Linked DNA regions of Notamacropus eugenii. The protein of the gene in region 1 purifies or fractionates together with the protein of each later gene. This does not show direct contact. Links are inferred from orthologs where the notes say so. Each region holds a gene or a part of one and is shown on either strand. Other genes may lie near its edges.

The links.
Region 2: the proteins of CLK3 (region 1) and GPATCH8 purify together in Homo sapiens (affinity purification with mass spectrometry; 3 studies listed by BioGRID and IntAct, counting the BioPlex papers as one, with this or other methods). This does not show direct contact. The link is inferred for Notamacropus eugenii from reciprocal best matches to the Homo sapiens genes CLK3 and GPATCH8.
Region 3: the proteins of CLK3 (region 1) and TNPO3 purify together in Homo sapiens (affinity purification with mass spectrometry; 4 studies listed by BioGRID and IntAct, counting the BioPlex papers as one, with this or other methods). This does not show direct contact. The link is inferred for Notamacropus eugenii from reciprocal best matches to the Homo sapiens genes CLK3 and TNPO3.
Region 4: the proteins of CLK3 (region 1) and PSME3IP1 purify together in Homo sapiens (affinity purification with mass spectrometry; 3 studies listed by BioGRID and IntAct, counting the BioPlex papers as one, with this or other methods). This does not show direct contact. The link is inferred for Notamacropus eugenii from reciprocal best matches to the Homo sapiens genes CLK3 and PSME3IP1.

The regions. Positions count from the first base shown.
Region 1 is NC_092872.1:241,552,533-241,560,512, reverse strand, and holds the start of CLK3 (dual specificity protein kinase CLK3), read left to right. Parts: upstream 1-4,690; 5' UTR 4,691-4,960; coding exon 4,961-4,984; intron 4,985-5,537; exon of another isoform or gene 5,538-5,643; intron 5,644-7,980. UniProt on the Homo sapiens protein: Dual specificity kinase acting on both serine/threonine and tyrosine-containing substrates. Phosphorylates serine- and arginine-rich (SR) proteins of the spliceosomal complex.
Region 2 is NC_092873.1:349,475,936-349,483,941, forward strand, and holds the start of GPATCH8 (G patch domain-containing protein 8), read left to right. Parts: upstream 1-4,352; 5' UTR 4,353-4,431; coding exon 4,432-4,755; intron 4,756-5,141; exon of another isoform or gene 5,142-5,232; intron 5,233-8,006.
Region 3 is NC_092874.1:121,048,291-121,056,139, forward strand, and holds the start of TNPO3 (transportin-3), read left to right. Parts: upstream 1-4,544; 5' UTR 4,545-4,930; coding exon 4,931-5,050; intron 5,051-7,849. UniProt on the Homo sapiens protein: Importin, which transports target proteins into the nucleus. Specifically mediates the nuclear import of splicing factor serine/arginine (SR) proteins, such as RBM4, SFRS1 and SFRS2, by recognizing phosphorylated SR domains.
Region 4 is NC_092872.1:474,788,836-474,797,212, forward strand, and holds the start of PSME3IP1 (PSME3-interacting protein), read right to left. Parts: upstream 3,642-8,377; 5' UTR 3,184-3,641; intron 1-3,183. UniProt on the Homo sapiens protein: Promotes the association of the proteasome activator complex subunit PSME3 with the 20S proteasome and regulates its activity.

The DNA.
Region 1 (7,980 bases):
ATCTAGGAATGTATGTAAAGCGTATAGCAGTGTTGCTTTGATTCAGGCAGTAAGAGCCCTGTCAGTTTTTATTTCTCTGTATTTTCTCTGTTTGTTGAATAGATAGGAGGTGTGGTAGCTTTGGAAATGTAAAAGATAAAAAGATGTGTCTCGAAGCATTTGGTTGAACTAATTAAAGTGATTGTTGACCCCTCAAATTGCCTTTCCTTTTATAAATGCAGATCTAAGAACCCCCCCACCCCATATGTCAGAGTGCTCACTGATACAGACCCATGGTGTCAAACTCAAATAGAACCAGGGACCACTGATCCATATAGGATCCCTGCAGGCCACATATTGATTTAGCTTTAAAATCTAATATTATTGGTACTTTTTATTTATTGAATATTTCCTAATTACATTTTAATCAGGCTCTAGCCACACTCAGGAGTGTTAGGGCTACCTGGGATCAGTGGCTCACATGTTTGAATACCTCTGGTCTAGAGCATTGGAAAGTTAAGTGACTTTTCCAGAGTTTCTATGCCTTGAACTCAGGTCTTCCTGACTTTGAAGCAAGTGAGTGATCTACTATGCCTTGCTGTCTCTGACATAGTACAAAATAGATACAAGAATACTGGATTTGGAACTAGAGGTCCTGGGTTCAAATCTTGATTCTGTATGACCTTAGGCAAGTCTTTAACTGATGTAAGCCTCAATTCTTTCAGACCAGAAAACTTGTAAGCTCTAAATCTATAATCCTGCGACCCTGTGAGATCCTTTGTGTTAGTGCCAGTCACAGCTTGACAAATTCCACCCCCAGGTTACTATTGTCATCATCTATCTCCACTCATTCTTGTGTCCTGCTGAAGAATGTCACACTACAATGTCCACCAGGTCTGCTAAAAATTTATATTATCTATTCTTTATTGCATCCCACCTGTTGTGATGCAATTTATTTTGTTCTTTCATGACTGCCTCCTTCTAAGGCTCATCGCAGCAACTATTCCAAACTTTTTCTTTTCTCAAATCCATAGTAACCACTCCTCTCTCTCTCTCTCTCTCTCTCTCTCTCTCTCTCTCTCTCTCTCTCTCCCCCCCCCCTTCCTCTCTTCCTCCCCCCCTCCCCAAAGGACCCAACCACTAACCATGACTTCTGTGTTTCCATCTCATCAATGGCTCATAACCCCCTTACCCCATTCTCTATTCTCTCCTGAGAAGTAGAGGTCTCTGCTACTTTGGCTCTTGGTTCCTTCTTTCCAAGTCTCTACTAGGAGCTTGCCACCTTGATCATTCCCTCTCTCTGGTCCATTGGCTCCTTCCCTGCCACCTACAATGATGCCCAGGTCCTCCCATCCCACTCTCACAATTTTGTCACTTGACCCTCTAATTCTCTCAAACTTTCTTCCTCCATCTCTCCTCCCTTCCATAGCCAAGTTCCAGGAAAAGATTGTTACATTCTTTGCTGTAATTACGTTTTTATTTCCCAGTCACTTGTCAAACCCCTTGTAATCTGATTTCAGATCCTGTCACTCAACTAAAAATGTTTCATATTTTATTGATATTTTTTAAAGCATCACTTTTATTTCAAATATGTCCCTTCCTCCCCTCTCCATAAAGATAGGTTGTGCAACAAAGAGTAAAAAAGAAAAAAAAAGTTCATCAAAATTAACCAATACAGGAATCTAGTTTGATAGTAGATATGTTCCATGCCCACAGTCCTTCACCTATCCTAAGGAGAGAGGGAGAAAGGTGTATTTTTTCACAATGTTTTGGAAATGTTATTGATCATAGTATTCCAGAAATCTTTTTGGTTGTTCTCTACACTTGCATGGCTACAGTCATACCAATGATCTTTTAAGCCCCAACTCTAGTTCTCATTTAACTTAACCTCTGCAGCTTTTGACATTGTCAACTCCTTCCCCCTCTTCCTGAATTCTCTCTCCTTTCTTGGCTTTTGGGAGGCTGCTGTATTTGTTTCCTCCTACCTGTCTGAGGGCTCCTTCTTAATCGCCTTTGTTGTACTATATCATCCGTTTGCCAACAACAAGCTTCAGTGTCCTTGAAGGCTCTGCCTTCAGCTCTCTTCTCTACTCTCTGTACACACTCTTCCTCTTCCTCTTGATGATCTCAATCTATTCCCATGGGTTCAATTATTATCTCCATGCAAATAACTCTTGGCCCTCAAGTCTCTCTTGAGCCCCAGTCCCACACTGCCAACTAGAGTGGGGAGGAAGAATGGTATAGTGGAGAGCACATTGACTCTGGAGTTATAAGACGGGTTCAAATCCTTACACCTACTATCTGTGTGACCTTGGTCACCACATTTTAATTCTCTAGGCCTCAGTTTCTTTCATCTCTATAATAAGGGGGTTGGACTAAATGATGTCTAAGGTTCTTTTCAACTGTATATCTATGAACTGTAAGATGACCATAGCTACACTGCCCATCAGTTCAAACTCTATGTGTCTAAAATGGAGCTCATTATAGATTACTCCCCAAACCATCCTTCCTCCAAACTTCCCTGTTTCTGCTAAGGACACCACCAACTATCCAGTCACCCTGTTTTCTATTTCTGTATTCCCAGTCCCAAACATAATGACTGGCAAATATTAGTCACTTAAACACTTGTTGACTTCTTGAACGTTCTGTAGAGTGCCCCCTGGCTCCCCTTCTTGGCATTATGCTTCATATTGCAGGGGTGCTCTAGGCAAGGGGAGCATAATCTACCACCCTTCTCTGTTTGCTCCCTACCCATCAAAATATACTCTGAGTGAGAGAATGAATAAATCAAGACTTGGCAGGTCGCCTCTCAAAGGGTGCTGGCCCATTGTTTCAGCCTTGTTAGCCCCCCAAAGGGAGGGACAAGATCTATTTATAACTCCTAGCTCAGGCTCTCTGGCAAACAGGACCCAAATACAAATTTTTGAATGACAATAAAAATAATGTTATTGCTGAGGGGTGGAATGTTTGTACAGGCCATTTGCATAGGGCCTTACAGCTCACCAAAATTTTCACACCTTCTCTCCTTAGAAAAATAATAGCCCTTCAAGCATTAAAAACTCTGATGACAACGCAGTTCCAGAAAAAGAAGCCTGACATCTTGCCAGAGAAAGGGATGGACTTGAAATATAGAATGAGACATGCATTTTGGACATGGCCCTAATGTGGGAATTTGTTTTGTTTAACTTTGCATATGTATCACAAGCATTTTTTTCTTTATTGTTCAATAGGTAGGGATGGGAGAGAAAATATATTCTTATTAATAAGAAAAAACAAAGGGAGAATGGCCCTTTAAATTAGATCAGGGATTATTATACCCATTTTAAAGATGAGGAAATGGTTTTGACCAAAGATAAGTACGTACTAAGGGGTAGAATAAAGATTCAAATCTAGGTCTTCTGATCTCTAGACCAGAATTTTGTGGATTATTTTTTTCACTAAATCACCCTGATGCAATTCTTCCCTGGGCAGGACTCAGCTCCCTCAGAAAGACAGCATGTCAGGGTGTCAGAGCACAGGAAAATACCTGGTACCTGGAGATGGAAGCCTTTCTGCAGTTCTTACAGCCGGTTGAGGACGGTGTTTCCTCCAGAAGACCCTCCCTCTCTAGATGCTTAGTGACAGTTCCCCATTGGCACAATCCCTAGTCACTGTGATATGTGAAGAATCAGCAGGAGTTGCTGCATCATCTTAGCAAAGTGAAGCCCATGCAAGAGTATAAAACAAGGGTCATGGGAAGAAATGACTCCACAACTGAAGGGGTCAGGAAAAAGGAAGGGGACATTTGGGCTGATTGCTAAAGGATACAAAGGATTCCAAGAGACAGAGATGAGAGCAGATTGCCTCTGCAAAGGCTTGGAGATGGGAGATACACACAGGCACTCATCTACTCACACATACAGGATGATGAGATACAGGCTGGTGACTCAGAGGACAGAATAATCACCCAGGGCTTGGCTAGTATTGCATGTGTTTTCAAAAGCCCTGGCATTCTGAAGCCTATTTGAGGAGTCAGTCAGACAAAGAACCCCATTTCTCAGACAGCAGCTGAGGTTCCATGAAGGGGTGACTGGCTCCAGCTGGCACACAGCTAGCTGCTCTGGCAGTGGTAAGAGGCCTTTGGGTTTCGTGGCAGAGGAAAGGGGGCTTAGCTTCTTGGGGCCAAGGCTTTACATCAGCCTCAAGCCTAGAGCAGTTTCTAACATTTCTTTTCTCCTTTCACCTCCTCTTCTGGACCAGGGGAAACATCCTTCCTCCTTTCTCCCCACCCCGATCAGTTCCAGATGGGGGCACCTGGCAAGGTTGGTGTTTCTCTCCTTTCTTATGCTCAGCCACCACTGTGGACAAGGTGGTTGGGGCTTCTTGGCCTGAGTCCTTCAGGATGAGAAGGACTAACAAGGAGAGAGGGGCTAATTCCTACTGGTAGGAAAATGCAGCATCACAAAGTGGCCCCGTGTAATCAGTGTATGGAGTGGGTTATGCCAAGGCTGTGGGTGAACCGGACAGGCTGGCACATGAGGGCGTTCTGCTCAGCTAGAGATTAACTATAGAGATCTTTGTTGAAATCCAGGTGCTTTCTTTTATCTGCTTCAAGTATTTGGTGAGAGGTAGTGGTTGTGCTGTGGGAAGAGCCATTAGGCTTGGAGTCAGGACTGAGTGGTGGCAACTGTGTAGCTCGGGGCAAAGTTCTGGGCCCCGTTTCCACCTCCTTGAGGGGTTGGTCTAGACTAGCTTCCTGTGTGGGGCTAGGATGGGTCTTGGGGAGCCTTTAGTTAGCGAGGCCACTTGTTTCCCCAAGTCTTCAGGGCCGGACAGAGAGCCGAACTGGCTTCCTCTTCTGGTCAGTCTGGAGAGGTCCCCGAACGGCGGCCCCGAGGCAGCCTTACCTAGCAGGCTTAAGAGTCAGAGGCTTGGCAGAAGCACAGGCAGGTGCCCAGGGCTCCCCAATTGTCTCCGTGGGTGCAGCCAGCTGCCCTGAGAGATGGTGAGCTCCCCATCCTTGCAGGTATTCAACCAGGAGACTGACGACCCAAGAAGGGACTGATTCCTTTTAAACTAGTAAGGAGGTGGCTTCGGAAGCCTCTTGGGGGGTCTTTGTGTGGCAGGGCAGGGAAGGGCTCCAATCGCTATGAGTCACACACAACCCAACCAGGTCTGGGGGGTGTCTGGGGGGATCCTGCAGGTGGGGATCGCAGTCCCGCTCAGGTATGTCGCCACGTGGGGAGGGGAGGGCCACGGAGGTGGGCCCAGGAGCGGACGTTTGGGGAGCCGGGCCGCCGGAGGACCGGCCAGTCCTCCAGGAACAACGAATGCCAGCCTAGAGCGGCGGCGAAGAAGCGCTGCGGAGCCACTCTAGGGGCGGGGGCGGGGGCGGGGAGGAGGCGAGAGGGGGTGTGTACCGGGCCGTGGCGTCGGCACGCAGGGCGGGCCAGGAAATTAGAGGGCGGGGCCTCGGGGGCCCGAACGAAGGGACGGAGGGGGCGGGGCCTCGGCGGCACGCAGGGCCCGGCGGGGCGGGGCCGCAGCTGCGGCGGGGGGAGGGGAGCCCAGGGCAGGGGAGGGGCGGGGCCGCCGCGGGCGGAGGCCGCAGCCCGGAGCCGGAAGCGGAAGAGGCGCCAGGAGCTGGGAGCGGGGCCTAGCTGGAGCTGGAGCGCCCGGGAGACGGTGAGAGCACCCCCCTCCCGCCGTCATCGGCATCCCCTTCCCCTCCTCCGCCCTTCCCTCCGGCCTGGTGCGTGGGTTGCGAGCGGGGATGGCGGGAGGCCGCGGCTCCTCCCCCTTTGGGCGCCCTCCCTTACTCCTGACCTCTCACCCCTGACCCCGCCAACCCCTATTGGGCCCTCCGACCCCACCTCGACACTACCCTCCCGAGGACCTCGGCTCGGGCCTGGGGGCGGCGGGAGACCACGACCTTTAAAGCCCTCCCGCGCCCTAAAAGTCCCACCCTCTGGAAGTCGCCTTCCGTTCTTAAAAGTCCTCCCTCCGCTGCCCGTCACCCCCATTCCCTTCTCCACCCAAATCCGCCCCGCTATTAAAGTCGCCCCCCGCCCTCAAGATTCTCCCCCGCCCTTACTCCCCCACTCCCTGACCCCGTCAGGCTTCCACCTTAGACTCCCCCATAACATTTGCCGTTAACTCCTTCCTTTCTCCCCCTTAAATCCCCCCAGGCTCTTAAAAGCCCCCCGCCCTAAATGGCCAAGCCCCCCTGCTAAAACTCTTAAAATTAATTCCCCCCGTGTCTCCCCCCATGGACATGCCCAAGGTGGCTCCAGCTGAAGTCTCCCCTCCCCCATTGTGGATGCCCTAAACCCGGTCCACTTATCTTTGAAAATCTCCGTTTTCTCCTAAAATCCCCACCCTCTTCTGCCCCTAATCCTTCCTCCCCCTCCTAAAATCCGAGCTCCGTCCGGATCAATGCGGGGCCTCGCCTCCCTGCCCCCCATCCCCCCCACCTCCGTCACCGCCCCCCCCCACCCTTCCCAGATGGGCCACCCGGGCTAAAATGCCCCGCCCCTTTGCCAATATCGCGGCCCCTGGAATCCCACCCACTAGATACATTTCACCCTGGAAATACAATTATACCTTCCCTCTTCCTTCCGAAATTAACGTGTGGGAAAGATCCGCGCTCCCCAGTGCCCCTTTCCTCAGGCTGGCCCCCCCACCCAAGTTGTTAGCCTGCTGAGCCCACTGCCAGGTGTGCCCGGGGCTCCGGCAGATGTTTGGCTTGGTCTCCCTTATGCCGCCACGCCCACCCCCTTGCTCTGGCCTGGTACCGTATGGCAGCCCGTGGAAACTGAGACTGTGGGTTGGGGGGCGGGGTGACCCACAGAAAGATATGCTGCAGAACCCCGGTGAAGGTATCTCAGCTATTCCAGGAAAGCAAGGCTGGGGAGTCCCCAAAGTAAGATAAGTATTCACAGCTGGGCCCCAGCTGGGTCCTGGGCTGAGGAAAAGAGCAGTGTTTTTGTTGTGATAATTCCAGTCCTGAAAATGAAAGAGATACTTGAGGCTGCAGCCCGGGACTTGAACCTGGTGTTTTCTTACTTGGGGTATGAACACCTCATATCTTTTGCTTTGCCGCTTTTCTCACCTTTGACTATGTGGTTTGACCTCCCCCTCACTCAGCCTGGGTAGAGCAGAACTGGGGTAGGACTTTATAGAGACAACCCCTTTGGCAAAGCAGAATTGGCTGCCTTTCATCTTCCTTCCTCTGGCCCGTTTTCCAGTGCCCTTGAAAAGAAAAATGTTCAACCTCTGTGGTGTGGATTTGAGAGATGGGGGGAGATGAAGTGCCAGCAGTAGTGGCACCAGCAGCCCTCCAGCATAACTGTGGGGATCCTGGGGGAGGGGAGAGGGCAGGTGCTAGCCGTGGCTCAGCTAGATGTTCTCGTTGGCCCAGTTTTCCTAATGCCAGCAACATGTGAAAACTGACAAGAAGGCTGTGCCCTGAGTACCTCTGAACAGACAGCTGGCATCTTAACAGCGTGGCATCTGGACTTGGTTTGACTTTTCCCATTCCTCAGCATGCGGTAGGAAAACTAGAGCAGGTTTGGAAGTACTTTTAAAAGCTGTTCTATTCCATAGCTCACCTCAGAAACTTGGTATTTTAATCTGTTGGGCCCTCCTGGGGTGTTAATGAGTCTGAGAAATGGGCCTTAAGGCTAGCAGACTTTTGGAGGGAGGTGAACCTGGAAATCTTTCATGTCAGATCGAGCCATGGGCAGCTTTCCACCCACTTTTTTGGAAGTGAGTTTTAAAATTCTGTATTCCTCTGAATAAGACTACCCCTAACCAGGTTTTTACCTCTAAAATGAAATCTCTTCGAAAGGAATATACATACACACACACAAACTCACATACTCTCTGTGTGTATACACATATATATGTATGATTATTTTTCATTATTAATTCCTTTTGGATGCTAAGATTTAAGGAGACTTTTGGGTGTGTGTTGCCAAAGGGAGGCTAACAGGCTCTGTATGCTGTTGCCATATGGTTTCT
Region 2 (8,006 bases), on another chromosome or scaffold:
CCCCTTGATTTCCAGTTTTTGGCCACCACAAAGAGAGCTGCTATAAATATTTTTGTACATGTGGGACCCTTTCCCATTTTTATGATCTCTTGGGGATACAGTCCTAGAAGTGGTATTGCTGGGTCAAAGGGTATAGTGGCTGTTTTCATATAAGTTGTTCTCCGGGTTCTACTCACTTCACTCTCCATGAATTTGTTACAGGTCTTCTCATCAAATGAGATAGCATACATAGGGCACTTTTTGAACTTTAAAGTGGTATGTATCATGTATGCTGTCATTACCATTATTTCCAGGTTTTCCCCAAACCATTCTCTTAATAATTTCTTATGGTACAATAATATTCCATTACCTTCATATTACCATAATTGGTTCAGCTATTTCCCAGGTGATGGGGACTTCTATAGTTAGCAGTTTTCTAGTACAAGAAAAATATGTGGCTATAAATATTTTAGTAGATCTGGGTCTTTCCCCTTTTTCTGTCATCTCTTTGCAATATAAGCCTAGTAGTGTTAAGACCCCCCAATTACTCTGGCAACATATAAAAGTGTAGCAAAAGTTTAAAAGCAATCTGGCAGAAATTAGGCTGACCAACGTCTCATACCATAAATACCACAAAAAACTTCAAATGGATACATGACCTGGATATTTAAAGTCATATCCTAAACAAATTAGAGTGGAGAAAGTGATAGCTTTTGCATCTCTAGAGAGAATTCTTGACCTAAGGACACAGAGGGAAAGAAAGGAAGGAAGGAAGCAAGCAAGTACTTTACCATGTGTCAGGCACCTCCTTAAGTAAGATGCAAAACAACCAAAAACAGTCCCTGACCTCAAGAAGCTTACTTACATTCTAATGGTGAAGGATAAGACAAAAGGGAGCTGAAAAGAGGGGGTGGTGTTTTAAATATATATATACATACATGTGTATATACCTATATCTACATATACATACACATGTATATGCACACATTTACTTACAGGCATAGACACACACCATGGTGGTTGTTCTTTGTTCTTGAAGAAGACCAAGATGACATCAGCACATTGGGGTCAAGGTACAGTGTGTCACACTGCAGCTGATCAGACCAACAATATGAGCTTGGAAGGCTCTACTACAGGTTAGGCACAAAATAGTCTATATGAACACTGTGAGTGAAACTGTCTCTAAATTTGTGCATCTCACATTTCTTCTGAGCTACTGCAAATCTGTTTTGCCCATAGTGCACAGCGCCTTCTTTGATGTGAGCACGACATGCTGGGAGACCCTGTGCCAGTGTCTCCCATGTTTCACAAATGATTCCAAAGTTCTTCAGACAGACCTTGAGAGCATGCTTATATTCTTTATTCTCACCTCCATGTGTGAGGGTCTGCTTGCCTTGTGTGAGCTCTCCATAAACCAGTCTTTTAGACAAAGGTACTTCTGGCATGATAACAACTTGGCCTTCCCACTGGAATTGTGCTCTCTGCAGTAGAATTTGAATACTTGGCAGTTCAACTCTAGAAAGGACTTCAGTGTCCAGTACCTTATCTTGTCAGGCAAGCTTCAGAATATTCCTAAGATAATTCAAATGGGAGTGATTCAGTTGTCTGGCATGGCACTGGTAGACCGTCCAGGTTTCACAAGCATACAACAATGAGGTCAACTCAAGGGCTCTGTAGACTCAGTCTGGTAGGCAACCTAATTCCTCTTCTCTCTCACATTTTCCTTTGGAGCCTCCAAACACTGTGTTAGCTCTAGTAATTTGTGCAACACCCTTATCAATCTATGTGTACATCCCTGGAAAGTATACTGCCAAGATAAGTGAAATTATCCATAGCATTCAAAATTTCTCTATTTGCTGCAAGCAATGGTTTCACTAATGGATGATGTAGTACTGACTGGTAAAGAACTTCCAAGTTTTTTTATGTTTATTGGTATATATACAGGATGTCCCAAAGCTATTTTAAGCTACTAAAGCTTACAATTGCACTTTTGGGGCACTCTTTACATGATAAGATCAAGTATTTACATATAGGGTAGCTAGTTGACACAATGGAATGTGTCATGGAATCATGAAGACTAATCTTTTGTGAGTTCAAATCTGGCCTCTTATACTTACTGGCTGTGTGACCTTAGGCAAGTCACTTAAACCTGTTTGCCTTAGTTTCCTCATCAGTAAAATGAACTAAAGAAGGAAATGGCAAACTTCCAGTATTTTTGCCCCCCAAATCCCAAATGGAATCTTGAAGAATTAGACAGGACTGAACAACAAAACATTTACATAGGGCTTTAACATTTCCAAAGAGCTTTACAAGTATTGTCTCCTTTTATAACAACAACCATTCAGAGATAGGTGCTAGTATTATTCCTATTTTATAAGGGAGGAAACAGGCAGACAGAAGTGAAGTGATTTGCACAGGGGCACACAGCAAGCATCTGAGGTTGGATTTAAATGCTCTAAATCCAGGCTTTATTCACTACTACATAGCTGTCTCATATGTAAATGTAAACGTATAGGAGCTGTCCCAAAAGTTTTGGTACAGTTTAAGCTATTTGTTAACTTATTATTCAATATATTTATTACATAAATATATTTAATACACAATACATTAATGTATTTTAATGTATTTAATATAAAATACATACTAGTATTTAATATCTACACAACATATTTAACATTACTTTAATATATATTATATGTTATAAAAATAGCAATTTATTATTAAGCTTTACAAGCTTAAAACTACCCTTAGGCTTTTGGGACACCGTACATACATATATGTGTCTGTATATCTGTATATCTATATCTCTCTCTATATATAGATACATATATGTATATGTGATATCCTCAAAAATCTTAGTGTAGTTTAAGCCATTTGTTATTAACTTATTGTTTAATATATAATATCGCATGTTCATAAGGAGATGATTTTTCTCTCTAATTTCACCTCTATCCCCTGAGTCCTTCCAGAGTGCCCTCCTCTTGGGGCATGGAGGTGACTACGGGCCCTTTAAGGAGATGTCTGCAGGAGGGAGCACAAACTCTGAGTGAAGGCAGCTTTGGTGTGGCCTCCCTTCCTCTCCTGGGACTGTTGTCCAAGGTCCTGCTGCGATCTGATGCCTCAGGGAGGATGGAAGAGATTGGGCTTTCTGGTGATTCTGCTCTGACATTTTCTGCTATCTTTGGATCATATCTTCAATTCAGAATTGTTTTTTCTTGTTGATATATCTGCATTAAATGTATTTTACATTAAAATACATTTGTATTTTAGGCTGGCTTTCAGTTCTTTCCTACCCAATATAATTAGACCAATGCCAAAAGCTGCCTTTTTTCCTTTGGGTTTACTGGCTACATTTCTTGCTCAAAGATCAAGCCTTAAACCCAATTCGCTCTGGAGCTCACAGACTGGACAACAAGTCCCCACTCACCCAGCAGCACAGAGTGGATGTAATAACTAGGTAGTAATTGTTTCTCTTTTAACCCAGAACCCTGAGGGTCTTCTCCCAGTTTGATTTTTTTTTATTAAAGGGGCCATCCCTTGAGTAACTTCAGGAAACCTATTCATTCAATGGGTGCATCTCACTCAAAGGGAGAACGTGGTATGATCTTAGCCTGAAAGGGCCAGGGTCTCCCAGTGCTTCCTGGGCCATGTCCAGCTGTCCTGGTGAATGTCAGGCCACTGGACCCAGATGGCTCAGGAGGAGAAGTGAGGCTGGTGACTGCACAGCCCTCCCTCCCTCAGACCAGAGTCAACTGCAAGTCATGTCATCACCTTGATGTCCTGGTTCATTTCGAGAACGAAGGGCAAACACAACAACAATCCATATGTTTAATACAGGCTATATGAGTGTATTTAGTGTATAATGTATTACCCAATATTATGATAACACAGTATAAATAATAATTTATTATTAAGCTTCACCAGCTTAAAACGACAATAAGGCTTTGGGGACACGTGCATATATACGTATGTGTGACCTCCTCCAGATCTTAGTGCGCTGTAAGCCATCTGTTATTAAATTATGGTTTAATATATGACGCCAATATATTTAATACCGGAATACGAGTGTCTTTAATATCTGCATAACGCACCATACAATATTACAACAACGTGTCATAGATAATCGCGTTCTACTGAACCTTCCTAGCTTCCTCAGGCTTTCGAGGTTACAGACGCAGAGGCGAGGTCCCACAAGTGCGGTTTAAAGCCATTTATTTTAGTTATCCACTAGGCTGTATCACAGCCATGAGACTGAATACAGAAACAACACGGGAAATTTCAAACAGCTCGTCTTCAATAGGGCAGAGCCGCACTGACACCTCGGAGACGCTTGGGCTGTGTGCAGCCGCGGACACACGCACGCACGGACGCACGCGCACACGCACAAAAGAAGGCACGGACCTCTCCGGGCCGGCTCCCGCTCTGCCCCTCCGCTCCGTCCCTCCAGGGGCAATGATCGCGCCTGAACGCGACTGCGCATGCGCAGCGGGCTCCGGCGGCCCCGGGCTGGGGAGGCCAGACTGCGGCCCCGGAGCTCCTCGGCCTCGTTTCCGGGCGGTGCCGCCGCGACGGGAGCCCGCGAGCTCGCTCTCGCTGCAGCGCGCGCCCTGCAGGCGTGGGAGGAGGCTGGGAAGAGGGAAAGGGGCGGTGGGAGGAGCGAGCGCGGGAGCGAGCGAGCCTGCGTCGTATTCGTCGTCGTCGTCGTCCGGAGAGGAGCTACACGGCGGCAAGATGGCGGATCGCTTCTCCCGCTTCAACGAGGACCGTGACTTCCAGGTAAACAGCGGCCCCGGAGCCGGCGCCGTCCGAGCCCCAGGTTCCCTTCCCAGCACGCCGACTCCCGGAGGCGGCCATGCCGGGTCCTCCGGGACTTCCCCCGTGAGGCCTCGGAGCCGGCGCTCTGTCCTCCCGCCCCCGGCTGCCTGGCGCCCCAGCCTGAGGCGAGGCCGCTACCCCTCCGCCGCGCCCCGGGCTCCCTCCCCTTCCCGGCCCGCAGGCGAGGGCCCGCGTCGGTGTGAGTACGGGGGCTCCCTCCCGGGCCCCCCTTCCTCGGAGCGGGCAGGGGAAGGCGGGCCGAGAAAAAAAAGGGAGGGGGGTGTCCTTCCTAATGCCTTGCCCTCCCAGAAAAATTCTTGATTTTCCTACAGTTTCCATATCCTTACCTGGAAAACGGGTCCGCTGTGCAGGCGTGGGGCCGGGCCTGGCAGGAGCGTTTCGGGTGGGGGCGGGGAGCGTTCCCCACCCCCCTCCCCCTCCGCCGGCCCGTGACTGTTGTTGTTGTGGTCGGTGTGGGGCCGCTAATTGGCCTCCAGAAACACGCGCGTCCTTGGGCAGCCCCGCCGGCCCTGCGGCTGCGGGCGGGGCGAGTCTCTGCCAAGTTGTCCCGACGAACGGATTTATTTGGTTTGATCTTATTTTTAACTTAATTTCCCCAGTTGCAAAGCATGAATCTCGGGGGGGAGATGTCAGTTGGGTAGGATGAAGTCGTTCTGGGTGGGGGTGGGGGAGAAGGAAGAGAAAACTCCTCATCAGAAACCACCCTCCCTTACCTGTTGGGAATTGCCTGGCTCGGGGGTATCAGGCCGCCTTGGGCATCTTGGAGAGTGGAAGGGATTGGGAAGAGGGGGGCGGATTATTATCATTGGGTGGAAAAGTGTGCCCTCGGAGTCTCCCCAAGAACACTGCATTACTGCTGCACACCCTGGCAACTGTCATTTGGGTCAGGGGAAGAACACTGGCACGGAAATGTTCGTGCTGCCAGGTCTTAGAGCGGCCAAGAAATACTGCTAGGGGACGGGGACCAGTGCCTTCCGGGGATTGGGTTGGAAGAAAAGAAGGGGGATTACGGGCCAGCAGGAATTATCGACACTTAGGACAGTCGTCTTCAGGGACCCAGGAAAGGACTTGGGGGTATTGAAAATCCACGTAGTCACGTGCTCTTTGTGAGGCTGCAGCACAAGGTGATTTAGGAGTGTAAAGTTTTGAGATGGTTTTTAATTGATGTCTCTTGGCTAAGAGAAAACCTCACCATGTCCAGATTTTTGGAAAAAAAAATGTTGAGTGCTTTTGGAGTGCTCTTCAGAGGAGAATTCAAGGTGACCTAATCATATTGCAAATTGTCATGCAAGCTGAGCATTGAGGAAAAAGTTTTCTTTAAAGGATGGGTATTTGTGATCGCTAAAGTCCCCGAATCTCAGCAGATCCTTTTTTTCAGAATAGAGAGGACAAACTGTCATGTAAACTTGGTTTTAGTTGTGAAAATTAGCGTGTTATGATTTGAAAAAACTGGGAAAAGGATTCTGTGAAAATAAGATGGTGCTTTTATAATTTAGTCATATTTTATGCTCAATATTTTCATCTTAATCCTGATAAGGTAGATGTGATATTAATTTATCTGGAGACCTCACTATCAATCATCTTTTAAGCTCATTTTCTGCATTTACATTAAAGTCAGCTTTTATTCAGGAGAAAATTTTCCTGTATTCAGTTGTCCTAACAGGTATTGGGAAAATAGGGTGTTGGAACTCACTACACTTTTATTGGTTATTACAATATGCTATTAAAGCTCCATTGAGAGATTTTTGTAAAATATTTATTGCTAAAATTTTGTTTCTTAATAAGAACCTGACAAACATTAGCAGATTTCAACATACAGAGAAGAACAGAAAAGAAGGATATATATGATACTAAACCTAGGTTGCATTCACCTTTTTAAAGTGTGTTTTAAACTTAATGTGAGAGTAACAAAACTGTCTTGCTAGTCTGTGTCTCTGCTCTCTGGCGCATTTAAAAAATTATTTCCCTTCCTCCCTTCTTTCCCTCCCTTTCTCCCTCCCTCCAACCTGTCTGTCACTACCAACTTTCTCCAATAAAAGCTTTCTCCTAACAAATAAGAATAGTAAGGTAAAACAAATCAGCTCATTACTTCTGTCATATCTCTTTCTGAAGCACATTTTGAAAAAATTTGTCTTAAAAGAGGTTTTGAAGAATTGTAGTTTATATTCTCATTACATATTTAGTAAAGGTTTAACTTACCAAAGGAGAACTGAAAATCAATTTTCCATATTTTTAATGGAGAATATTGTTTTTTTACTGTATTTTATTTTTTCCTGTTACATGTAAAACTGTTTAAAATTTATTTTTTAATTTTTAGTTCCAAATTCTCTCCCTCCCCTCTCTTTGACGTAGATTATGCATGTGAATTTGTATGAAACATATTTCCAAATTGGCCATGTTACAGATGAACCCAAAAAGAAACAAAATATACTTAGATCTGCATTCAAACTCCACTTCTTTCTCTGAAGGTAGATGGCACTTTTCATCATTAAAGTCCTTTGGAATTGTCTTGTATTATTGTATTGATCAAAATAGTTAAGTCATTCACAGTTGATCATCTTACGATATTACTGTTACTGATATATAATGTTCCGGTTCTGCTCACTTCAATTTGCATCAATTTATGTTAAGTCCAGGTTTTTCTGAAAGCATCCTCTGTGATATATATTGTATAATAGTAGCCCATTACAATCATATACCACAACTTGTTTGGCTATTCCACAATTGATGGGCATCCCCTCAATTTCCAGATATTTGCCACCACAAACAAGAGCTGCTATAAAATTTTTTGGTACATATAGATCCTTTTTCTTTTTATTTGATCTCTTTGGGGTACAGACTGAATAGTGGTATTGCTGGGTCAAAGGGTAGAAACAGTTTTATAGCCTTTTGGACATAGTTCTAAATAGCTCTTCAGAATGGTTGGATCAGTTGACAATTGATTGGCTTTTATTGATGATGCAATTCTTTGACTTAAGGTTCTTGGAAAAGAGAATGTCCCTAGAAGTAATATAAAAAGTAGCTCTCCTTATAGTGTCATTAAAACATTTTCTATATTTAGGTCAATTAGTGTTCATTGAGAAATGTGGTTTTTCTACTCAACTCCATTTGAGAATGCTGTAAATACTGAGTTTCTGTGAAGGAAACCCTAAGAGAAAAGGAAGAGGTGAATATTGTAGTTTTTAAAACTG
Region 3 (7,849 bases), on another chromosome or scaffold:
CACAGAGATGATCATTGAACCAAGCCTTAAACCCAATTCACTTTGGAGCTCATAGACTGGTCAACAACTTCCCACCCACTTAGTACAGAGTGAATGTAATTACTAAATAGTAACTATTTCTCTTTTACCCAGGAACCCTGAGGGCCTTAACCTCCCAGTTTGAATTTTTTTAAAGGGACCATCCCTTGAGTAACTACTTAAAGAAGCCTCTTCATTGAATGGGTGTATCTCAGTCAAGGTGAGAATGTGATAAGACCTTAGACCTGAAAGGGCCAGGGTCTCCCAGTGCATCCTGGGCCATCTCTAGTCATTCTGATGAATATCAGGCCTCTGGACCCAGATGGCTCAAGAGAAGAAAGTGAGGTTGGTGACATTGCACAACCCTCCCTCAACTCAAATCAAAGTTACCTCAAGTCATGTCATCATCTGGATGTCAGGGTCCTCTTTGAGAAAGAAGGACAAACACAAGCTGTGCATCCAAGTATATTGATGAGATCAAGTGAGAGAGTATAGAGTAAAAAATGGGATTAGGATAGCCTTGGAAGACATTCACAACTAGTGAATGTGATGTTGAAGATCTAACAAAGGACACAGAGAAGTGCTCAGAGAGGCAGAGAGAGATCAAGGGAAGGTTTTGACCAAAAAACCCAAAACAACCCAAAACAACCCAAAACACTCAGTATCCAAGTTGCATGCGGGGGAGGGGAGGCAAGACTAACAAAATTTGTGGAGATGTCAAGCAGGGTGAAGACTGAGAAAAAACAATTCAATTGGCAATTTATGAGATTGTTGGTAATTTTAGAGAAAGTAATTTCAGTTGAATGATGAGTTTGGAAGCTAGATTAGAGGAAAGGAAGTGGAGGAACTGGGGCTAGACAGCCTTTTCAAGTTTAGCTTAGAAGGGGAGGGGAGATACAGGATGACAGATTGCAAAGATAGTAAGGCGTAGTGAAGGGTTTTGAAGGATGAGGAAGATCTGGGAATGTTTGTAGGTGGCATAAAAGGAACTATTAGATAATATTAGATATTAATATAATACTAATATTAGATATTAGATAGACTACATTAGATATACTACAGATACCTATCTAAGTGCCTTCTGGCCATTTTACCTGAAGATACAATAAAAACAAATACAAAAAACTTTTATTAAGCCTTTACTTCATGTAAAGCACTGTGCTAGGTGCTGCAGGTGATTAAAAGTTTAGATACATCATGGTCCCTCCACTCAAGGAGGTATAAAAGGTAAGGGTATAAAATACCAGCACAAAGTTATAATGCACAAAAATAAAAAATTGTTGAGCCAAACATAATGTCCAACAGGAGGAGCTCAGCAAAGGTTTGCTGAATTCCTAATGTCACTTTTGTTAGAAACATGCTGAAACTCAAGTATCAAGGAAAATTTATTAAAGAAGAATCCAGAGGAATTGGATGTTTCTGGCCAGAAGCGGGCTCCACCCTTTTCCAGGAACAGGGAATGCTGAATCTGAAGGGAGAGAAGTTTTATACTGTTAATTCAGAACAAAATCCTCCCATCAGAGGACAGATTGTTCTGTTCTCTTTCAGGTCACAATTTTCCAGACATGCCCACTGTATGTTTTCCCCTAAGCATGTGTAGGCATGTACCCCTCCCTCATCATATGTTCCACGATCAGAAAATGGAGGGATAATTTTGTGTGAGGTGTGTCTGCTTATATGCATGAGGTTTATTAAGCATGCACTATGAAGAAAAGCTTTCTCATGGTCACTGACCCCAACAGGTTTAAACTAGTTTCAGGCTGGGCCCCATTATCAGAAACTTTTTGGTTAGGCTAGCTTCTTCCCCTGAGAGCTGATTGGTTGGTAGTGCTTGTTATCTTACATTACCTTGAAACTGCAACATTTTGTGGAATCCTAACTTATATAAGAATGACTTGTCTTTCTCACACTTTAAGCTCAATAGGCTCTTCCTCCTAACCTTATTTCTATGTGATGACTAGGATAGAGAACCTAGTCACCTAAATTCAAAATGTCATAACTTTATATTTCCTTGAAACCAATTAATGAGTTTCATTGGTTCCTCTACAATATTTCCTATATCTGTTTTTTACTGCACTGCCTTTGGACTTCTTCCCCATACCCTAGGAAGCTCATAATTGGATTAACCTCATCATCATGTTAAGATTTCATCAGCTTTGACATTCCCCTTCATCACTATCCTCTGCCTCTCTGATTGGAGGGTAGGACCATGAATTCCAAACCTCCATTTAACGGGAGACCTCAGCCTAGCTATTTCATTTCTAGCTTGAGACTTCCCTGGTTGACTTCTCCACCACACCTCCATGTTGGATAGTTGCCCCCACCCCATTCAGATTCCTTTTGTGTGTCCTCTTCCTCTTTAGGATTTTAAGTTCCCAGAAGGTAGGGACTTTATTTTTTCATATTTGTTTCCCCAGCTCTTAGCAGGGTGCCAGGCATAATGTTTATTGACTATTCACTTTTAATCCCCACTAACATTCTAATTTTTCCTTATCTTATGCATTATTGTATAGCCTTATAACTCACTTCCATTCTTCGAATCTTTCTACTGCTCCAATCCATCCTTTACGCTACCACTAGTTTTATCTTCCTGGAGACCTTCACCATCTACAGTAGAGTTCTTCTATTTGAAATAACTTTTAACATTTACAAGGCACTTTAAGGTTTGCAAGGTACTTTATGTCTTATTTCATTTGACCTTCACAACAACCCTGTGAGATGAATGCTATTATCTTCATTTTACAGAAGAAACTGAGGCTGATGAGGTTTAAGTGACTTGCCCAGGGGCACCTAGCTAATGTCTGAGGCAGGGTTTGAATTCAGATGTTCTTGACTCCAACTCCATCTTTCTATCTGCTGCACCACTTTTATGTGGGCCATTCTCTAGCCGACTTGTGAGTATCTTTGGCAAGCATAGGTCTTCTTGTTCTATACTCTGATACTAAAAGGATTGTTGAAAAGTTATTTCTGTGGTTGTATTTATCATAGTCTTGTACAATAATATATGCATAGGGGACATATTGGAGGAGAGGGCTACATTTTGCTGTCTGGAATCACTTTTTAAAAAATAAATAATTGGCAAATAAGCTCAATGACACAATTTTATATTTTCTATTACTTCTGTCAGCGGTGCCTGAAGATGTAGGTCTGGTGTAGAAAATACACAAAAAGCTGGTGTTCCCTTTTCATGTTTTTACTCCTAGTAGCCTTGTTGTGCGTCCATGTACTAAAGAAAGTAGAAATTCTCCTTAAGCATTGTTGAGCCCTTAAGCAGAACACTGCCACATATGAAAGATTACAAACTAATTGTTGTAGAACTTACACTCTAGTTGAAGGAAACCACACATACACAGAATTTACAAAGTGTGGCAGCAGCCTTTACCAACTGTTAAAAGGATAGGAGGGCGTGCAGTAAGGAAGTCATCACAAAATGGTCCTCAGAAGTCTTCTAGCCCACATCCCTCATGTGGGATGAACATTTCAGAGATAGGAAGTGACAGTCGGATTTTGCCTCCAGGTCCTGACTCCAAATCCAGGCCTCCTTCCACTGAACCGCACGGATGGTAAGGGTGCAGCCTGGTGCGGGGGCTGATTCTGAAACAAGGGATGCACGCGGGGCGTGTGTCATCATCATACTATTAGTGATAATGACAGCTCTCAGTCCCATGGCACTAGTGAGGCCGGCCAGCAGCACTTTCCGTATGTTCTCTTATTCGATCCTCACGGTCCTGTCAGCGGTCAGCGGGGCGCGGTCATTGTCTCTACGATGCAGAAGGCAGGAGTGAAGCCGACAGAGATAAAGGGACCGGCCCAGGGGACACGGTGACCAACTGTCCGGGGCCAGGTCGCGGGTCCTTCTCGACTCCAAGGCCAACGCTCTCCTTGGCACCATTCACCAGACGGGGCGTCAGCCGCGGCAGAGATGGTGACCTGGAGCGCACAGCCCCACCGGCCTTGTCCTGGCTGGCGCGTGGTGCACCTGGAGACCCGGACGCGCGCGGACAGCACAGGATGCTGGCGTTTGGCGATGGAAGGACTTTGGAAATCGCCCATCGCATTCAGGGGCTTTTAACCTTTTTTGTGTGCTAGGGTTCCTTTGGCAGTCTGGGGTTTTTAGATTCATAAAATACGGAGGATTACCAAAGAAACCAGAAGTTAGTGAAAATAAAGACGTAACGACCGGGGGGAGGGGAGGAAGAGCAAGGGAGGGAGGTGGCCCCCGGCTGGTAGGAGAATCGATCCCGGCGCCGAGACGCAGCCCCGGGGACCCCACGTGGAAGCGGCGCCGCAGGGACCCCAGGCTCGAGATGTCAGGAGGAGGAAAGGTCTCCGTCCAAGACCAAAAAGCACCGGCTTCTAGAGGCCCGCACCCCCGGGAGGCCCCGGGAATTCAATGGCAGAACACACCGCTTCCTTTCGCGCTTCTTCGGTTTCTGGCCGGGGAGGGCCACTTCCGGTACCAGGGGGCTCCGAAAGGCGGGGAGCACGGCTTGCGGCGGCCCCGGCGGAAGTGCGCTAAAGGACCAGTGTCGCTGCTTCCGGTCCGGGTTGAGCGGTTCTCCTGCTGGAAGGCTCTGTGGTTTGCGGGAGCCGGCTGGGGCTGGAGCATCCCGGAGCTAGGGGGGAGGGAGAGAGCGAGGTGGAGAGAACACGCGGGCTCCCAGGCTGATTCGGGGACAGCCCGATGGTGACGCCGGCCACCGATCGCAGGCACAGAAGACAGAGGGAACCCGAGCGCCACCAGGCTCCTGTTTCCAGGGGGGCAGCCTGCACGGGACACCCCCCGCCCCGGTAACGGCCGAGGAGGAGGAGGAGATGGCGCCGGCCAGGGAGCGGCCGTGGCCGAGGCAGTGAGAAGCAGCGAAGCCCGAGGAGCCTGCGCCCCCGCGTGTGAAGAGCAGGAGCCGGCGCCATGGAAGAGACGAAGCCGAGTTTGCAGCTGGTGTACCAGGCTGTGCAAGCGCTCTACCACGACCCGGACCCCAGCGGCAAGGAGCGCGCCTCGTTCTGGCTCGGGGAGCTGCAGCGATCGGTGAGCGGGGGCCGGGGCCGGCCGCGGGGGGCGGGGTGCCGGGTGCTGGAGAGGCCTGCGGCGGGGCCGGAGCCGGCTCGGCGGCCCCGGGGCCTCGTGCAGCCCGAGGGGAGGAGCTGCGGCGCGGGGCGGGGCGCGGCGGCCCAGCCGCGGCTGGTGGAAGTTTCTAAAGAGAAGGGGCAGCCGCCAGCCCGGGGACCCTTCCCCTCCAGGGGCTGCAGAGTCTTGGGCCTGGAGCCCCCTGGGAGCTGAGGCCTTCCCGGGTTCCCGCTCTTCCACTGCCCCGAAGGGACCGGCCGCCCGGTCCCCTGCTGGTCCCTGTCCCATCTCCGTCCCTGTCCAGCACGCCCACTCCTTTCTTTTCTCCGCGTTCCGGTGTCGCAGCCTGGGATTCTTTCCCATCCATTTGCACCCGCGCCCCCATCCTCATTTTCATCCATTAATAGCTCTAAACACCTCTCAGCTCTTTTAGGTCTTTGCATCTGCCAGTTTTGCCCCCTTGTTGTATTCCTTTGCCACCTCCTTGTCTTTTAACTCCGTGTTGGGACTTACTCTTTCTTCCTCACGATCCCCCTTAACTTATGTTGTATAATATCTTTTTTTTCTGAAATGTGGGGAAAACTTTTTAATTCTACTGGAGCCATGAAATTGTTTTTTAACAAATGTGAAAATGCTTTGAAAATGAAAGGATATTGCACTGTATTTGCTTGTCTTTCAAGCACAAATCCTTTTCTGATTTCTGTTGACAACCCTTCTCTTCCCCCCTCCCTCAATTCCTTCCTTTGCTGATTTTTGTACTGTGCCCTTTAAAGCTAACTTGTTTGAGGTCTTAGTGCGTACGAGTTCCGTTTATTTTGGTCAGCTTGCAACTTTGCATTTGAAATAGGGTGGGTGGTTTATTTTTGTATGTTCCTTTGTTTCCAATTCTTGGCTTGCCTGATTTCAAGTAATGAGAAATTTTTATAAGATAGATATTATTACTTGATAATCATAACACAGTTTCTGTGGTCTGGAGAGGGAGAAAAGCCTTTTTGTGGTGCTTTGTTTTAGAGTTTCCTAGCGGTAGTTATTTTTGTAAGATAGATTAAAATTACTTTCATTTTTATAGGAGGGAAGTGCTTGGTTCGAACAGGAAAAAGTGATTTGTTAATTAAAAGGGACTTTCTCAAGGTATATTTCCCAAGCTGTTTCAGTAGTATGTAACAAACTTGAAGTTTGGTCCTAGCACAGTTAGGTTTTTATTCTCTTTGGAGGACAGAGCTTACTTAAACGTTAGTTGTGCTATGAGACCTGTGTCAAGAAGAAACTTTTTAATTTTTTTGTAGAACATAATTTTTTTTCTCCTCACAATCTCAATATGCAGTTGTAATTCCAGCGATCTCTGCCAATTGGTCTCCTTGACAAGCTCAATATGAAGCAGTAGTTAATAGTGGTACAATTTAGATACAGTTGAGCACATTCTGGAATAGGATGCATTCCTTGTGTTGCATATATCAACATCTTTTTCTCCCCCCACCCCCCTTCATTCTTAGAAACATCCTGCTGCAGAGATTATTAGAATTGATGACTTGGAAATTTTCTAAAGGAAGAGAAAACTATATTTCTCTGGTTTGGAGGCTGACTTTTATAGCAATCCTACCTAGCAAGGGTCTGTTATATGGCAGGACTCTATTAAATATGGTGGGAGGGAGATGCCCTAATTTAACTCAGCTAACTCAAACTCTGGGGGGAAGCATTGAATGAAAAGTCATCCCTTCGTTGGATATGTGGAATAACCTAAGTTGTTGAAGACAATAATTTAAATCAAGAAGAAGGGAAGTGTATTTTATAGACTGGAAAACTGTGATAGTTTTGACTGGAATAAGAGCAAATCTGGTTGCTGTACTGTGCACCACGGAAGCAGATGAGCCAGGATAACCTTGGGACAATGATAATTGATTTGGCCTAGATTCTTGGGAATTTTTTTTCCCCATAATAAATGAGGCAGGCTGTGGGATATGTACTCTAGTACTTTTCCTCTTTGGAATTCCCAGTTCCCTGAAATTCTTCTGAAACATCAGGGTTTTCTTTTCCTTTTCCTTTTCAGTCATTGGTTTGACTTGGTAATTTATTCTGAAGACTAGACATTTATTTGGTGTTTTTAAGCTGTCAATCAACATTGCCAGTCAGCTGTCAAACTGTCAATGAACCACATTGACTCCTATCATGTGCAGACATTGCTCAAGGATGAAGATGTGGAGTCCAAAAGAAAGGGCGTCTTTGCCTTCAAGGAGCTTGAGTGTTTTTGGAGAAGACACCATGTATGCACATAAGTAAATACAAAATAACACGTGATATAAACATAAGACAGTGGTGGCACTATGTTTGTGGGTGAAGGCACTGGAAGCTTTGGGAAATGGGGCAAGGCTCCATGTTGGAAGTGGCACTTGGACTGAGCTAAGAAATAAGCTAGAATTGATCTGAGGCTTGGTGGAGGTGAGGAGGCATGGAGAGTCTGTGAAATTACATATGATAGGGGAAGCATCAGGTATGAGAGAGCAGCCGGAGGGCTAGTTTGGGTATGTGAAGTTTGAGAAAGGAAGGAATGGATCAGTTTGGAAAGGTAGGGTAGAACCTTCTAGCGAAGGACTTTCAACATTCAACTTTGATTTTAGAGGTAATAGGGAGCCACTGGAACTTTTTGAGCTGGACAGTGACGTGTTCAGACTCGTGCTTTATGAGTATCATTTTGGTAGCTTTAAGGAGTATGGATTGGAAAGTGGAGAGACTTGAAGATGGGAGATAGCTTAGACCATTGCA
Region 4 (8,377 bases), about 230 Mb from region 1:
AGGGTAGTCCAAGATAGGACATATTGAAGCAGCTGAGTAAGAGGTCACAAAGGCACAAATGTGCGAAAGACTAGGGCTAAATAATGCAGCAGAGCACTCCGTACCAAATTACTACTTCACATGGCAGAGTTTAGTTTAAACTTTGATTTGTGCAAGCAGCATGATGTTAAAATATGATTCCTGGCAAGGACAAATCAATGGCTGAAATTTTAAAACTTTCTTGACTTGCAGCTTGCTTATTATCTTTGAAATTCTACTTATTTGCCATAGCCCTCTTCCTCTCAAACAAGTAAGAGGAGGAAGATCTTAGGCTTCAAACTCATAAAAAGTCAGTCTCCGCTTCAGGGTCTTGCTCTAAAAGGCTCAATTTGGAAGACTACAAAAACTGCCTACATTTGAGTTCTAAGTCCTGTGCCCAAGACAATTCAGTCTTCACTTACACCGCACCTTTCCTTCCAAGATTTTAAAAGGCTTAATAAAAACTTTAAGCAAGCTCTTTCTGTATCTACTTTATTGCCCTACCTCTCCACACTAGTAGACAAAACTCAAGAGAGCAAAAAACTTTAATACATTTAATCTGTATCAAACATGGAAATATAAATTATGACTTCTGACCACCATATCTACAGTTTATGGAGCCTCTACATTAGGATGTGTTTTCCTCTAAGAATCTCCCAAGCTTAGTTGTAAAGATAGGTGGAAAGCAGGGGGGTGTAGTGTAAAGAAGGTATTCTAGATTTTGTCAGAAAGACCTACTTCTAAAACTTAGTAGTGTAACCCTGGGCAAATCACTGACCCTCCGAGCCTCAGTTCCCCATCTGTGAAATGAACATAATGCCATATAATCTACATTACAAAGCTGTTATGAAGTTGAAATGAGTGGTTTCAGAAGCGTAGGTAACTGCAAGTAAGAAAATTCCCTTTATCAATAACTGTTTCTGCAACTTAAAGTTTTAGTGAGTTAATTGTTTAGGGAATGGAAAAGTTAAATGATCACATAGCTAGTATATGGTCCAGATGCAGGACTTAAACCCTTAAACTTAAAAGGTCTTTTGGATTTCCAGGCAAATACTTTTTAAGTCTTCTTTTCTACTTCATCCTTTTACTTAATACAAGCCAAGGTTAATAATTGAATCACACTTTATAGTCTTACAAAGTGCTTTCTTTATATGTCTATGAGATTTAGCCTAATTTTATAGATGTGCAAACTGAGCTTTATAGGAGGTTGAATTAAGTAACTTACCCTGGAAGTCCTCAAAGAAAGAAATTCAAGCTTCTAAAGTCATGAAAAAAATACTCCAAATCATTAATAATTAGAGAAATGTATATTAAAGCAAATCTTGAGGTTGTACCTCACTCCCATCAGACAAAGTGGACAAAAAACGAAAATTACAAATGTTTTAAGGGCTATGGTTAAACAGGCACAATGATGCACTGTTGGTGAAGTTGTGAAATAGTGTCTGGAAAGCAATTTGGAACCATGCCCCACCCCCCCAATTGCTAAAATGTATATACTCTTTGACCCAGCAATACTAGGCTTATACCCCAAGGAGATCAAAGAGGAAAAGGTCCTATATGTACAGAAATATTTCCAGTAGTTCTCTTTGGGGTAGCAAAGAACTGAAAACTAAGGGGGTACCCATTAATTACAGAATGGCCAAATAAATTATGGTACATGAAAGTAATGGAATATGCTATGCTAAGTAAGAGAAACCTGGGAAAATGTGCGTAGACCAAGAGGCAGAGCACAGTGAACAGAACAAGATCAATACCCTATAAAATATTATAAAAAGAAACAATTTTGAAAAACTTTAGAACTATGACCAATGCAATGATCAATTATGATTCCAGACGACCAATGATGAGGAATGCTATCCACCTCCTGAAAGAAAGGTGATGGGTTGAATATGAAAAATGAGACATTTTTGGACACGATCATTATGGAAATCTATTTTTCTCAGCTATGCTTATTTGTTACAAGGGGGTTGCTCTTCCTTTTCCTTGGGGCGGATGGGAGTGGGGCGGTGGTCATAACTGAAAAAAATAACATTTATCATCAAGCATGGAAAAAAAAGTAATTTGCCCTGGCATTTACTTCCTACTCTAAATCCAAGCATTCAAGACCCTCTACAGTCTGGATCCAGCCTACCTTTATCCAGCCTTTTCTCATACAACTAACTCTCCTTTGCTCTAGGTTCCATCCTCCCTATCCTTTTCCATCTCAGTTCTTTTACTTAAACCGTTCTCCTAGTCCTGGAATGGAATTTCCCTCTCCATCCTTTCCTAACTCTAATGCCTGCCATCTGTTACTTCCAGTTTATTCTGTAAATAGCTTGTTTGAACAAAGTTGTTTGCCTTTTGTCTCCCCATCAGAACATGAAGCTTCTTGAGAGCAGGTATCGTCATGTGCTTTTCTTCGGATCTCCAGCACTTTGCACAATGCACATGGCAAGTCCTTAAGGATGTTTACTGACTGACATCCCCACCCCCATCTGCTGAAGTCTCTTCTAGAAGGTCCAGCTCAAATGCCACTTGGCCCCTGCTCCCCACCCCCAACCTGTTATCTCTTCTTCGTACTTATGACTCCTTCCCTGGCTTGCTGCTATACAGGTGTCCAGCGCTCCTGCACCAGGCCTCCACAGAAGCTCCTGCCTTTGCAGGCCTGGGTTCGGGTCTCTGGGGTAAATGCTTGCTAATCCCTGGCTGCACTCACGGACCAGGACTCCGCTCGCAAGGCCCAGGGCCAAGTCTGGAGCCAGTCTGGGTCTTTGGGAGGCACATCGAGGGCTCTGGTCCCCTCAGGCAGGCGGCTCCACCGCATTCTCGCAGCACCGTGACCCCTTGGACCCCTCCCCGGAGCTCCTCGGGGCCCCCTCCTCACTCAGGCAGTCACCCTCACTTGGGACCCGACTGTCGGACCAGACAGCGGAACCCGCAGAGGGAAGACACTCAGGGAGGCCTGCCTCCGTCCCTGCCCTGTCACGCACCCCGCCAGGCCGGGGTGGGTTCCCGCGTCTCCTCAGGAGCCCCCGGTCACGGTTTACCCCCCTCCCCGCCCCCTAAGCCCCAGTCCCTCCGTCTCAACAACACTAAAGCCGTCCCTTCCCACGCGAGACTCAGCACTGTAAAAAGAGGCTTGGGGTGCAGGCCTTTCCGCCTCACGTCCCGGCCACGCTCACCTACCTGCACACTTCCACCGAGACCACTCAGCAGCGACCACCCTCTTCAACCGCCGCCAAGGCCTGGCTTTTCCTCGCCTTTGCTTTTTGAATATTTTTGACCCTTCAGGGCTTCCGCTCCCTTTCGTCCGCCGTAGGACCCGCCTTCCCCAAGGTAGATTGGCCTATCTTTTTCGCTCTTCCTCCCCGGCTGCCGCGGAGTGAGCAATGGGAGCTCGGCTCTTCCATACAACAACCTAGAGCCCAGGCAATCTGATTGGACTTTCCACGTTTTAGCGTGAGCATTGGCTAGCTATGGTGAGGGAGGGGCAAAGAGAGAGGCGGGTCACCTGATCATGCTGCCTGGATACGGATTGGTTGACTCTGGAACAGGCCAACGGGGAGTGAGGTGGGTGTTTCCTAGGGGACGGGAGGGAAGGTGGACCTGGGCGTTACGGAGCGGGGGAGGGCTCAACGCGGAATGGCAGTGCCGGGGCTGCGCGTCCATCTTTATCGCCCGTCCGGAGCTGTCACAAAGGAGTCGCCGCGCTGCAGACCGTGGCTCCGTCCCATCGGAGACCACGAAAAGTCAGTCACGGGGGCCCGGCCGCCTGGTTTGCGGGAATCTACAAGGGAAGAAGGAGGGCGGAAGGGGAGACTGGAGGGGCTCCCGTCAGGGAGGGGAGCGGCCCGAGCCGGCCCGGGGGAGGGGCCGCTGGGGAAGCCGAGGGAGGGAGACTGGGGGGCGGGGTGGGGCTTGCCGGGGGCGCAGTGGAATGGGCGGAGGGAAGAGGTACCCAGGGTGCGAGAGGAGAAGGGAAGGAGGGTTCTGGGGAGCCGAAGCTCCTGCAGGTGGGGAGCCGCTGGAGCGGGCAAGGAAGCATTCAAGATTGAGAGCCGGAAAGAATCTTAAAGACAGGTAACAGGATGTTAAGTCACTAGATTTAGAGTCCGAGGACGTGGGTTCGAACTTCATTTTTGCTACTTACTTTCTATATGATCTTGGTCAGGCCTCTTCCCTTCTTTGGGCCTCTATTTCCTTTTCTGTAAAATGATGGAAGGGTTGGACTGGATGCTCTAAGGCGTCTCCAGTTCTAAATTCTATGATGCAACTAATCCAGACTCCCCATTTATTTTGCCAGTAGAAAAACTGAGGCCCTGAGAGGTCTGGAGGGTATTGTCTAAAGGCTACATCGGATTAGTGAGTGGTAAAGCTGGGGCTACCCAGTTCTTCTTCACTGACTAGGATTCTTTCAAGTAAATTTACAGGACTTAGAGCTAGAAATGATCTTAGAAATAAGAGTAATGTGCAATTGTGAAGCACTTTTAAGATTTGTAGAGCATTTTCTTCACAATAGTCTTATGAACTAGGTAGTGCAGCTGTTCATTCCTCCGATGATGGAAACTAAGGCTCAATGAGGTGAAGTTACTTTTGTCCAACTGGGATCTGAACCCAGGGTCTTTTTCTTTGAAATCTGGATTGAGTGCACTTTCCACCAGGCCATGTGTCGCCACATATACTTAATCTAAACCCCTCATACACATATGAGAAAATTGAAGCCCAGAAAAGAGCAATCTTCCCTCTAGGTCATCTGTCTTTCTACTCCATGTTAAAATAGTGAGTAAAATCATCTGTCTTTAGCTTCATTGAGTGTATGATGAGAATGAATGAAATCCTTTCCTGTAGAAAATCTTGTACTTTGAATACTTCAGAGTCAAAGGTTCATAGTTGTCTTGAATATTCAGAAATTTTTGATCTTCTGTATACTGGGAGTTTTGTGATATTTAAAGAAAACACTGGTTTCCTTGCCCTCAATGACATTAAACTAAATGGGATACCTTTAAAATGTGTTTCTCACAGTTTCGTTTAAATATCCATAGTGATGTTTTATTTTTTGCCAAGAGAATGGAAATGTATGTAAAATATACTGTAAGTCTTGAGAAAACTTTTCTAGTCCTTTTTCTTACGTATTCACATCCTTTAGTTCTGTACAGATAACTTTAATGCTTCCTTTTTTAATTGTGATTTTGTCAAGTGATCTCAATATTTATTGAAAAATAATCTTTTAATAATAATAGCTAACATCTATATAGCTATTAGTTCATATCAGGCATCATGCTCAATGCTTTACAATTATCTCAATTTCATCCTCTCAGCAACTGGGAGGTAAGTGTTGTTACAGATGAGGAAACTGAGGCAAACAAATTAAGTGGATTTCCCAGGGCCACATAGCTATTAGGTGTCCAAGGCAAGTTTTGAACTTAGGTCTTCCTGACTGGTGCTGAATTCATTACCCCATCAAGTATCAGGCTGTGGTAATCATTGAGGATACAAAGAATGGCCAAAGACAGTCCCTGCTCTCAAGGAATTCACAGTGTTATTAGGGAGACACTGAAAACAATCAGATACAAACAATATATATAGGATAAATTGGAAATAATACAGAAAAGCTCCTCATAGAAGATGGGAATTTAACTGAGACTTGAAGAAGATCATTCCATGTAAGAGGAATAGCCAGTGAAAAAGCCTGGTTAGGAGATGGAGTGTCTTGAAAGAAACAGCAAGGAGGTCATTGTCACTGAATTACAGAGTACATGGGAGGGAGATTGGTATAAGAAGACTGGAAAGGCAGGAGGCAGCTAGGTTGTGAAGAGTTTTAAAAGCCAAATAGAGAATTTTACATTTAACCCTGATGGTAATATGGGAGCTACTGGTGTTTATTACTTAGTGTATAGTGACATAGTTAGACTTGTATTTTAGAAAGATTAATTTGACTACTGAATGGAGGACTGGATTGCAGTGGTGAGGGACATTTGGCCAGGTTCAGGCTATTGAAGTAGTTCAGATGTTAATGTGATAAGGATCTGGACCTGGGTGGTTGAATTGTCAGAGATAAGGAAGCGAAGCATTATTCTGGAGATATTACTAAGGTGAGATCAACAGACCTTAGCAACAAATTGGATATGGGGGATAAGAGTGAGGAGTCAGGGATGATTCCTTGCTTAAAAGCTTGAATGACTGGGATGATGTAGGTTCCTTCAACAATAATTGGTAAATTTTGGGGGAAGATAACAAGTTCAGTTTTGGACATGCTGAGTCTAATTATATGTATGGGACATCTAGTTCAAGATGTCTAATAGGCAGTTGGAGATTCAAGTCTACACATTTGAAGAAACGTTAGGGCTCAATAAATAGATCTGAGAATTATCACTGTGGAGATGATAATTAAAACCATAGGAGCTGATGAGATCACCTAGTGAAATAGTTTTGGGGGAAAAAAGAAGAGTGCCCAAGGTGGAGCCCTGGTGAGTGAGTGGGAGTGACCTGGCCCAGGAGACTGAAAAGGATCTGGAAGGTAGTTGGAGAACCTGGGTAGAGTAGTGTCATGTAACCTAGAGAGAACAGGTGTATCAAGGAAAATGAAGATTTTATGACTTAAAAACATAGGTATTTGCAAGCAGATCATTGTTTATCCTGCCCACTCTCACTGTTGAATCTCAGAAATTCTACCAACTACTACAGGTTGGTATTTGGTTTAATTGAACAGAAAATTGCATTTTTTTGCACCATATTTTTGTAGCAGCTCACTGTGTGAGATCCTGATCTAATTCACCATTTTCTGAATGTATGATATGTTTATATTCTGCAATCAATGGATATGGTTTTACATTTGTAGGATTATTTATTTTGTAATGTTCAAGATAGTTCTTTCTTTTTTTGAAAATCTGATATTCTGTTAGCTATTTCCACAGAAATACCCTTTAAAAACAACAGCAATATTACAATCATTTATTAGTTTTCTGATTTCCCAGTATAGATATTATCTGGACCTATAGATTAATGTGCTCTAATTCCAGCTTTTTGACTCATTCACAACCTTCTTTATTTCTGGATCTCATAATTATTTTGAAATCATGATGGATTGTAAAAAAGCGTTTCTACATTTTAATGAATTTGATCCTCCCTGTCAACAAATCAAACATTCCTTCAGTAGTTGATATTTAAATTACATATAGAAGTACTATCTATTGCCAAGAGAATCTAATCAAAATAGTGCTTTTTATTCATTTGTCTGTGTATGTTTACAGTGGCCTCAGAGTTGTATGATATATCTTCCATATGATAAAATTAAATAGGTTATTATAAAGAAGTGAAAGGATACTTTGCCATCTTTAAATTGTGATCATCTTGAAATTATTTTGAATATGTTCTTAACCTTATTTTAAACATAGCATTTCAAGTAGTAACACCCAAAATCACATATTGTGGGCGGGTGTGTGATTTTATGATTTTACAATCCTCTGGGGACACTTTTGAAGAAGAATACAGTAGAGTCATTTGCTGTGTTGTGAAATTGAATAGGAATCAAAAGCCAGGTTATACTTGGAATGGAAGGACACTATTACTAGTAAATAGTGGCAAATGTTATTTGGTGATGGTAATAACTTTTGATTTAGTTTCATTCTAATTTCCCAGGGCCAACTATATTAGTCAGTTAGAATGGTTATTTTTGGTACAAAGATTGGAAATTTGATACAAAGTAGTTAGTTATAGAACTAGAACTTGGGCCCTGAAACTTGGACCACAGGCATATACTCAAAATGTATCCTTCAGAAAAAAGAATATTTTACTTTTACCATTAAGGAGAAAGAAAGTAACAATATTAAAATTGTCTTCCCAATTTAGCTGTTGTTGGTCAGTCATCTTTTAGCCTGTAGGTATACTAGATGAGTAGATAAGTTCACAAATATATTTTACTATAACTATTAATATGCCTAAAAGGGAGTACTGCAAAGTGTTGTTTTTTAAGGAGGCTGGTAAATTTTGTTGTCTTTACTTATAAGGTTTTGTAAGTAAAGGAACCATTGTCTACTGAGAATAATTTATAGAAAGAATCCCTTTTACAAGTAATTTTATATTGGTATGAAAGCTGAGAAGAGGAGAAAGACCACAAAGAATTGACCTCACAGGATTAACTGGGGAATAGAACACGTCGCTCTGCAAGCTAAGGGTCAGAATTTTCGTCTTGCTTGAAATTGCATTTGACAGTCTTTAGTTTCTGCTTGCTCCTGTGCAATTTTTTGGGTTTTGTACACTTCAGATATAAAGTTGCAGAACTATTTTTTCTCTTGTTCATCATAACTTCATTGCTTTTCCGTTCATCATTCATGTGTTAAAATAGATATTCTTTTATTAGTGGGAGATATTTTTGGGATAT